Xenopus tropicalis: one gene and its partner. The protein of the gene in region 1 interacts with the protein of each later gene in a biochemical or structural test. Links are inferred from orthologs where the notes say so. Each region holds a gene or a part of one and is shown on either strand. Other genes may lie near its edges.

What was found.
Region 2: the proteins of pstpip1 (region 1) and ptpn18 form a complex in vitro, tested with the Homo sapiens proteins (2 studies listed by BioGRID and IntAct). The link is inferred for Xenopus tropicalis from reciprocal best matches to the Homo sapiens genes PSTPIP1 and PTPN18.

The regions. Positions count from the first base shown.
Region 1 is NC_030679.2:90,474,873-90,480,148, forward strand, and holds part of pstpip1 (proline-serine-threonine phosphatase-interacting protein 1), read left to right. Parts: intron 1-104; coding exon 105-167; intron 168-241; coding exon 242-340; intron 341-3,305; coding exon 3,306-3,351; intron 3,352-3,923; coding exon 3,924-4,003; intron 4,004-4,089; coding exon 4,090-4,188; intron 4,189-4,529; coding exon 4,530-4,626; intron 4,627-5,276. UniProt on the Homo sapiens protein: Involved in regulation of the actin cytoskeleton. May regulate WAS actin-bundling activity. Bridges the interaction between ABL1 and PTPN18 leading to ABL1 dephosphorylation.
Region 2 is NC_030684.2:709,643-714,268, reverse strand, and holds the end of ptpn18 (tyrosine-protein phosphatase non-receptor type 18), read right to left. Parts: intron 4,521-4,626; coding exon 4,435-4,520; intron 2,492-4,434; coding exon 2,050-2,491; 3' UTR 820-2,049; downstream 1-819. UniProt on the Homo sapiens protein: Differentially dephosphorylate autophosphorylated tyrosine kinases which are known to be overexpressed in tumor tissues.

The DNA of each region.
Region 1 (5,276 bases):
GAAAACTGTTGGTAGAATATCATATACACTAGAGACGGCTGCTTATTGCAGGCAAATACAGGAAAATTCAGAGATTTAATTGGTAATTTCATTTCCTCCCATAGTATGAGAATGCAATGGAACGCCTGCAAAAGAATAAAGTGTCCTTGTACAAGAAAACAATGGATGTAAGTGTTTTCTTAACTTAGTATATCTGATTCTGTAATATGACAATTCATTGTATTTCTTTTTTTCTGTTAAGTCAAAAAAGAGCTATGAGCAGAGGTGCCGAGAAGCAGAGGACGCTGAGCAGAACTATGAACGGCTGGTAGCTTTAGGAAACCCAAAGCAAATAGAAAAGGTAACAAAGCAAGGAATGTTTAACATCAGGCCCTTTACATGTAAGCATGGCTGCCATCAATAATCATGTGACCCCATACTACTTAGTTAGCAGAGCTCACCCCCCCAGGTGGCCCCAATTATCAGACCATTGGCGTCCAGGGCCCCCTGGATGGTGTACTCAGCTAACAAGTATAATTGGGCCCCAATAAAAATCCCCTGTGCATGCATAACCACATTCACCAATTGCCTGGCCACACCCATTTATGCTGAAACACACTCATAGGCTGCCCAAGCCCTGCTCATCTTCAAGCCCTGACCTTTAGTGGCACATTAATCACACTTTAATATCTCAAATGCCAGCAATGCTCCCTGTACACCCCTGATGGGAGCCCTATATGTATGTAAAACAGTGCCAAGGCTGCAAGCCTGTATCTTGTTTGTGTAAACAGCAGCCTACAGATATGGAGACGGGGCATATTTACTTTTTAGAAAGAGCCTTAGGAAACTGATTATTCTATCACAAGTGTAGTTAAAAAAGTGTTTCTGAACTTAAAAATAAAATGGTTCCATCTAGCCCTCACCCACTACCTTGTAAAATCCAACAAGCTGGCAATAATAGCCTCTTATAAGCATCTCTTTGTCTACTTTGCTTGTGTGTGTATGTGGGTGGTGGGCCCTATTAACAAATGATTTCAGTAGTCATACTGTGGGATTACTATAAATAGTGCACAGAACCATTCACCCTCAGAGCCTCTATTCTAGATTTGTGAAATTGCTTTTATATCATTATAAAAACATTTTATAATTTCCCTCATCCCAGCAGAAAACCTTTACTTTGGGTGTGGTAAGGCTACATATACAGTTACACTGTTGCACTTATTCTGAGGACAAAGAAACATGGATTGGATTACAAGCACTCTCTGACTGTGCCTGCAGAAATGTACAGTAAATTCCCCTTGTCTGACAAGTGTACAGCATACACGTATACTCATGGATAAACAATTATTTAGGGCCCATTTACACTATACACAGAAATATCAAAATACTCAAATAGGTGAAAGTAAAATGGAAGGTTTTGTAGATTTTAAAAGAGTTGGTATTGGGAAAATACAATCCTGCCTTTAGAAGGTGGCACATAAGGGCATATTTTCAAAGATGTGTATATAACAAAAATGAAATAACTGTGAAATAACTTCAAATTTCCTTTTTAACTGAGCTTGCTGTTTACAAAAAGCCAGGGTTACTCTGGAATTTGTCAAAATGTTCCACTTCAATAGATTTGGCAGTGAAACAGAAACTGTGGTATTTAAATTTAATTTAAGAAATAACTTGCACAATTTTACTAACTGTGCTGATTTCTTCATGTTTACTATATTTACGTGGCTTTTTGGGTAATATTTGACTTGAAGCTGTGCAGGTACTTTAAGGCTTCTTGTAGGCTTTCCCCCATATTTAATAAAAGTTTGCCCAAGTGCAGTAACTCATAGCAACCAATAAGATGTTTGCTTGTAGACAGGTGACCAGTAAATGCTACCTGCTGATTGGCTGCTATGGGTTACTGCTCCTGGCAAACTTAGTGTCTTTTATTACATAATCCCCATTTTGTTTTATAAAACAATGGTTTGTGTAAACAGTGGTAAATTGTATTTCAGTGTCATTCTTCATACAGATTTTCTGCTCAGCATATATACAGTATGTGCATCTATTTATTTCTATATGGTATAGGTTCAATTATCCAGAAATTTCTATTAATTGGATCTCTGTACCATAAGGCTAGTAAAACATGTAAACATTAAATGAAGCCAATAGGATTATGTTGCCGCAAACACCAAGGGCCCTCGTGCACTGGAAGCCACCCACTCCCCCCTCTGTGCCCACTTGTGTGTGGGCATGTGTCAGCATAGGCAGGGGGTGCACACATTTTCCCCGGAGTAAAGTAGATATAGAGGAAGCTGCCCCCCCCCCCTCCTGCGGGGTCTGCTTCCTTTTTATTTACATCACTGGCCACCAATATGAATCATGCAGCTTAGCTAGGATCAAGTACAAGTGACTTTTTTAATATTACAGGGAAAAAGTAGCTTACTGCAAAGAGAATTGTTTGCTGAAAATAAGCTCTATAGGAAATGTCCTTCCCATAATTCAGAGCTTTCTAGATACTGGATTTCTGGATAAAAGATCCCATACCTATCAATCTTAAAGTAATTGCTTATCCAATAGTCAATTATGTCAATATAATGGCAAAAGAACCAGTACCCCCATAAATGCAAAGAAAGAAATATGCTAAATGTATTTATATCATAGTGCTTCCGATATTTATCAAGGAAACGTTGCAAACAGAAATGTTATATTTAAATGCCCTTAATTTCTTGTGAAAATGATGCCAAAATTACATTATGAAAATCAAAATTACATCCATTACATCAACAACTAAATATTTAACAAAGATCATTTTGCAATTTCACCACTTGATGTCACTGTTGTGTATTCAGGGTGTTATTGGCAAATTCCTACATGTTCATTTAGATTTCCTTCCAGGGTTTATGTGTTTCTGCAAACAATATTAAAGTCAATTCACTCTGTAAAACAAAAAGTAATGTGATGAATAAACCAACCTCCTGCTATTACAATAAAACACAAATATATATCTTGTTTTATTTTCATAAAACAACATAAATCTGTGGATGAATCTCTATATTTCATTGTAAACCTCACTGAACTATGCAAATCATTTAATGCACTGTATACCAGCTCCATAAATAATGCAGGCTTTGCACAAAAAACACTAACAGCAGGTAACTGATAGCATACTTTTAATAGGTAAATTGCTACTTTTTCTGGCTTTCAGTACGTTGTTAGTAGCTTCCATGTGCCTATTGTAGCTGTTTAATTTGTCAGTATGAAGCATTTTGTAATAGGACTTGATGACATGTTTGTGCTTTGTTTCAGTGCACTTAATCTCTTATTATAGTATTCTTTATTTTCAGAGCCAGAACAAAGCAAAGCACTGTAAGGATGCAGCAGAAGAAGCAGGTACAGTCACCCACCCTAAACACACATACAATTTTGGTAAATCGATTATGAAGGGTAAAAGCATTGCAGAGACTACTATATTATAGGAAAAAATGTCTCATACTTATAAAAGCCTTATTGGAGCTTAGTATGAAAGAAGCAGTAGCTTGGTAGTATGTTGGTGGGGACACATGAGTATTTTTGGAATACTTTTAGCACTGCATTTTAAAGCAGTTAAAAAACATGGCTCTAAAGTGCATGAAATTGTCCCCCATTGACCTACATTGCTGGAACATGCTGGAAATTGCATGTGATGGCATTGTTTTCAAATAAACCCCGAGAATGAAGGAAGTTACATTATGTACAACTGTCTAATAAAGAATATTATATTGTATCATTTACATTTTTGTTTAAAGATCACTGGTCACATCTTCTTATATTCCACCATCAATCAAGTCAATCTTGTTATTAATAAATATCAGGAACATAGTATTAAACACTTCAGTCTTACAGTAAATATGGAAATACTTAGTGCTTATGTCCCATTATATGATATAACTCCACAACAATATAACTCCTTGGGTTTGTTCTAGATCGGCTATATAAGAACAATATAGAACTTCTGGAAAAAGCTCGCATTGAGTGGGAGACAGAGCACAGTAACACATGCGAGGTATCCTTATAGTGCTGATGCCCTCTGAGCTGTGAGTGCTGGGTAAAAAAGTTTGTTCTTTACCTACCGCCTGTTCTATTCTGCAGGCATTTCAACTGCAAGAGACAGATAGAATCAGCATTCTGCGCAATTCCCTCTGGGTTCAGTGCAACCACTTCTCAAGCCAGTGTGTGCGTGATGACGAGGTAACCTGACAGTTATCATAAATAATCACAGATTCTCCATGTCCAGGCGCTGACGTTGTCCTTCCCACCCATCTAAAACACTTCAATTAGCAGCCAATGCAAGCTGATTGTGTCCTCACAATTCCAACAAATCTCTTGTTTTAGGGACTAAAATGTTGCAGCTTTATCCAACATTTTTTGGTGTGTTTTTTGTTTTCATTTTCATTATTACAAAAGATGTTTCTTGTACTGATCTGCACTTACTACTGACAGTTACACCCTGGGGCATCACAGGCTCTACCAACATCACTTCTGCCTGAGGCCCTAAAACTGCTGTGCTAAATGATGCCCTGTATTTCTAGATGATGGAGGAGGTCAGACAGACCCTTGAGCAATGCGACGTGACTACCGAAATTGATTTTTTCATACAGAGTAAAACTACAGGAAAAGTTCCACCAGGTACATGCTGGAAATTGCTTGTGATAGCATTGTTTTTGAGTAACTCTTAACTTAAATCCCAAGAACTGTGACACCCATAGGCTTTTGCAGACACCTTAGACATGATACATCTTTTAAAGGGAAGAAACACACCACCACATACTGGGAAATGCCTTTAAATCATTTATGGCAGCAGAAATGTGCCACGTTGAGCAGGAGGGCCCACTGACACCTGTGCCCACTTGGAGTTCCCTGGTATCCTGGTGGGCCAGTCTCACACTCTCTGTTTATTTAAGTGCTTTACAGCAGGGATCCCCAACCTTTTTTACCTGTGAGCAACATTCAAATGTAAAAAGAGTTGGATAGCAACATAAGCATGAAGACTCATGGGGTTACAAATAGGGGCTCTGATTGGCTATTTGGTAGCCCCTATATGGACTGGCAGCCTACAAGAGGCTATGTTTGGCAGTACACCAGTTTTTTATGCAACCAAAACTTGCCCAAAAGCCAGGAATTCAAAAATAAGCACCTTCTTTGAGGCCACTGGGAGCAAAACCCAAGGGACTGGTGAGCAACATGTTCCTCACAAGCTACTGGTTGGAGATCACTGCTTTACAGACACAGGATGAGCACTAACAATTATAAAACAATAATAGCACACCCAGGAACTT
Region 2 (4,626 bases), on another chromosome or scaffold:
ACCCTTCATCTTTACCCCCAGGCACTGCCCAACCCCTTCATTCTTACCCCCCCGAGCAACCTTCATCTACCCCAGCTCCCAAACCCCTTCATCTTACCCTGCTGCAACCCCATCACCCCCGGCACTGCCCAACCCTTCATCTTACCCCCCCTGGCACTGCCCAAAACCCCTTCATCTTACCCCCTGGCACTGCCCAAACCCTCATCTTACCCCCTGGCACTCCCAAACCCCTTCATCTTCCCCCATCCACCTTACCCCCCCGCAGCACTACTACCCCTGACGCCAACCCTCATCTACCCCTGCATCCACCCTCCCATTTACCCCCTGGCACTGCCCAAACCCCTTTCATCTTACCCCCCGGCACTGCCCAACCCCTTCATCTTTACCCCCGGCACTGCCCAACCCCTTCATCTTACCCCCCTGGCACTGCCCAACCCCTTCATCTTACCCCCCGGCACTGCCCAAACCCCTTCATCTTACCCCCCGGCACTGCCCAAACCCCTTCATCTTACCCCCGGCACTGCCCAACCCCTTCATCTTACCCCCTGGCACTGCCCAACCCCTTCATTCTTACCCCCTGGCACTGCCCAACCCCTTCATCTTACCCCTGGCACTGCCCAACCCCTTCATCTTACCCCCTGGCACTGCCCAACCCCTTCATCTTACCCCCTGGCACTGCCCAACCCCTTCATCTTACCCCCTGGCACTGCCCAACCCCTTCATCTTACCCCCCCTGGCACTGCTAATCCTTCCTTCCCTCCCACATTTGCTCCTCCCCCCTCCCGCCCCCCCCACACCCAGCTGACAAACACACAGACAGACAGTGGGACACAGAGCAGTTTATTGACATGACGGGAACATGAACAGCACGAGACACTGAGACAGGACAGACGTGGGGTAAGGGGGGCACAGTGCCAGGATGGTGGGCGGGTAGTGCCAGGATGGTGGGTGGGTGGGTAGTGCCAGGATGGTGGGTGGGTAGTGCCAGGATGGTGGGTGGGTAGTGCCAGGATGGTGGGCGGGTAGTGCCAGGATGGTGGGCGGGTAGTGCCAGGATGGTGGGTGGGCGGGTAGTGCCAGGATGGTGGGTGGGGAAGGGAACATGGCAGCAGGGCGGGCAGGGGAGAGCAGGGTAAATAAGGGAGATGCCAGTGGGCAGTGCCAGGACAGGAAACACACAACACTAACAGGACACACAATGCACACAGGTGGCACTGCTGCTTCTGCCCCTTCCCTACTGCCCCTCTGCCCCACAACTGTGTCCCTAACTCTACCCCCCCCGCTAGGAGTAAGTGGGCCGAGGGGCCGTTGGCACCATCCAATAGGTTGCACTGCCCAGGCTGCTAGCTTCTTGGGTTGAGCCCTGGCACTAGACTTGGCATCAGGGGAAGCAGAAGTCCCTTGATGCCAGGGGGAGAACCCCACGGGGGTAGGTTACCAGCCTATGGCTAATTTAGTGCCCCCCTGATCCGCTGCTCCCACCTCTCACTCAACCTCCCCCCAGAACCCTCAGTCTAGATTCCCTGGCATAAAGCAGCACAAGGTGCCAACCCGGCAGGACCCTCAGTCTAGATTCCCTGGCATAAAGCAGCACAAGGTGCCAACCCGGCAGAACCCTCAGTCTAGATTCCCTGGCATAAAGCAGCACAAGGTGCCAACCCGGCAGAACCCTCAGTCTAGATTCCCTGGCATAAAGCAGCACAAGGTGCCAACCCGGCAGGACCCTCAGTCTAGATTCCCTGGCATAAAGCAGCACAAGGTGCCAACCCGGCAGAACCCTCAGTCTAGATTCCCTGGCATAAAGCAGCACAAGGTGCCAACCCGGCAGAACCCTCAGTCTAGATTCCCTGGCATAAAGCAGCACAAGGTGCCAACCCGGCAGGACCCTCAGTCTAGATTCCCTGGCATAAAGCAGCACAAGGTGCCAACCCGGCAGGACCCTCAGACTAGATTCCCTGGCATAAAGCAGCACAAGGTGCCAACCCGGCAGGACCCTCAGTCTAGATTCCCTGGCATAAAGCAGCACAAGGTGCCAACCCGGCAGGACCCTCAGTCTAGATTCCCTGGCATAAAGCAGCACAAGGTGCCCACCAAACCCGGGAAGACCCTTAGGGCTTTCGTCCTGCTTCTGACGCTCCTGTTACCTGTCCTGCTGGGCATGGGCACCTGGGCATACGTGACGGAGGCAGTTTCCGCGGGGCCAGGGGCACCGGCCAGGGTGTAGTTGGAGGAGATTGCGTTGGCAGAGCTTGCCCGGTTGCCTTTGTGCGTGACAGTGCTGTACAGCTGGTCCAGAGGTGCCGGGGTGGGCACGTGAGTGGGCACGTGAGTGGGCACATTATCATACTGCACTGTCTGTGGGCGTGTCTCTGGCGCCACTGGCCTCTTCTTCTGTACAACAGCGTAAGTTTCATTGGCACTCATGGCGGGCATCTGCCCCGGCCTCTGCTCTGGGGCACACAGGGGTGGGTACTCGGCACCGATAGGCAGTCTGCCCAGAGACAGAGAGAGACAGAGAGAGAGATGAGTCATGAGTCTCACAGAGATCAGCACTCTCGCACTTGAGAGCAGGAAGGGGAAGAGACACTGACACTCAGAGCGCTCTCTCTGCACTGACACCTTCCTGAGAGCGCTCTCTCTGCACTGACACCTTCCTGAGAGCGCTCTCTCTGCACTGACTCCTTCCTGAGAGTGCTCTCTCTGCACTGACACCTTCCTGAGAGCGCTCTCTCTGCACTGACACCTTCCTGAGAGCTCTCTCTCTGCACTGACTCCTTCCTGAGAGTGCTCTCTCTGCACTGACACCTTCCTGAGAGCGCTCTCTCTGCACTGACACCTTCCTGAGAGCTCTCTCTCTGCACTGACACCTTCCTGAGAGCGCTCTCTCTGCACTGACACCTTCCTGAGAGCGCTCTCTCTGCACTGACTCCTTCCTGAGAGCGCTCTCTCTGCACTGACACCTTCCTGAGAGCGCTCTCTCTGCACTGACTCCTTCCTGAGAGCGCTCTCTCTGCACTGACACCTTCCTGAGAGCGCTCTCTCTGCACTGACACCTTCCTGAGAGCGCTCTCTCTGCACTGACTCCTTCCTGAGAGCGCTCTCTCTGCACTGACACCTTCCTGAGAGCGCTCTCTCTGCACTGACTACTTCCTGAGAGCGCTCTCTCTGCACTGACTCCTTCCTGAGAGCGCTCTCTCTGCACTGACACCTTCCTGAGAGCTCTCTCTCTGCACTGACTCCTTCCTGAGAGCGCTCTCTCTGCACTGACACCTTCCTGAGAGCGCTCTCTCTGCACTGACACCTTCCTGAGAGCTCTCTCTCTGCACTGACACCTTCCTGAGAGCGCTCTCTCTGCACTGACACCTTCCTGAGAGCGCTCTCTCTGCACTGACACCTTCCTGAGAGCGCTCTCTCTGCACTGACACCTTCCTGAGAGCTCTCTCTCTGCACTGACACCTTCCTGAGAGCTCTCTCTCTGCACTGACACCTTCCTGAGAGCGCTCTCTCTGCACTGACACCTTCCTGAGAGCGCTCTCTGCACTGACACCTTCCTGAGAGCGCTCTCTCTGCACTGACTCCTTCCTGAGAGTGCTCTCTCTGCACTGACACCTTCCTGAGAGCGCTCTCTCTGCACTGACACCTTCCTGAGAGCTCTCTCTCTGCACTGACTCCTTCCTGAGAGCGCTCTCTCTGCACTGACACCTTCCTGAGAGCGCTCTCTCTGCACTGACACCTTCCTGAGAGCGCTCTCTCTGCACTGACTCCTTCCTGAGAGCGCTCTCTCTGCACTGACACCTTCCTGAGAGCGCTCTCTCTGCACTGACTACTTCCTGAGAGCGCTCTCTCTGCACTGACTCCTTCCTGAGAGCGCTCTCTCTGCACTGACACCTTCCTGAGAGCTCTCTCTCTGCACTGACTCCTTCCTGAGAGCGCTCTCTCTGCACTGACACCTTCCTGAGAGCGCTCTCTCTGCACTGACACCTTCCTGAGAGCTCTCTCTCTGCACTGACACCTTCCTGAGAGCGCTCTCTCTGCACTGACTCCTTCCTGAGAGCGCTCTCTCTGCACTGACACCTTCCTGAGAGCGCTCTCTCTGCACTGACACCTTCCTGAGAGCTCTCTCTCTGCACTGACACCTTCCTGAGAGCGCTCTCTCTGCACTGACTCCTTCCTGAGAGCGCTCTCTCTGCACTGACACCTTCCTGAGAGCTCTCTCTCTGCACTGACTCCTTCCTGAGAGCGCTCTCTCTGCACTGACTCCTTCCTGAGAGCGCTCTCTCTGCACTGACTCCTTCCTGAGAGCTCTCTCTCTGCACTGACACCTTCCTGAGAGCGCTCTCTCTGCACTGACACCTTCCTGAGAGCGCTCTCTCTGCACTGACTCCTTCCTGAGAGCGCTCTCTCCACTCTAGCAGATAGCTTTCTCGCACTCACCGTGCCGGGGGCTTCTTCCTCTGGGGGGGCAGTTGCCGGAGGGCGCTCAGTACTGATGTGGCATCGTCGTACAGAGGAGATTTATCCTGTAGGGACAGACAGTGGCTCAGAGTAGATCACAGACTGCTGATCACTGCACTAATTTCAGCCAATCAGGAAGTCTCCACCCCTTCCTGTTTTTAGGAGATGAAA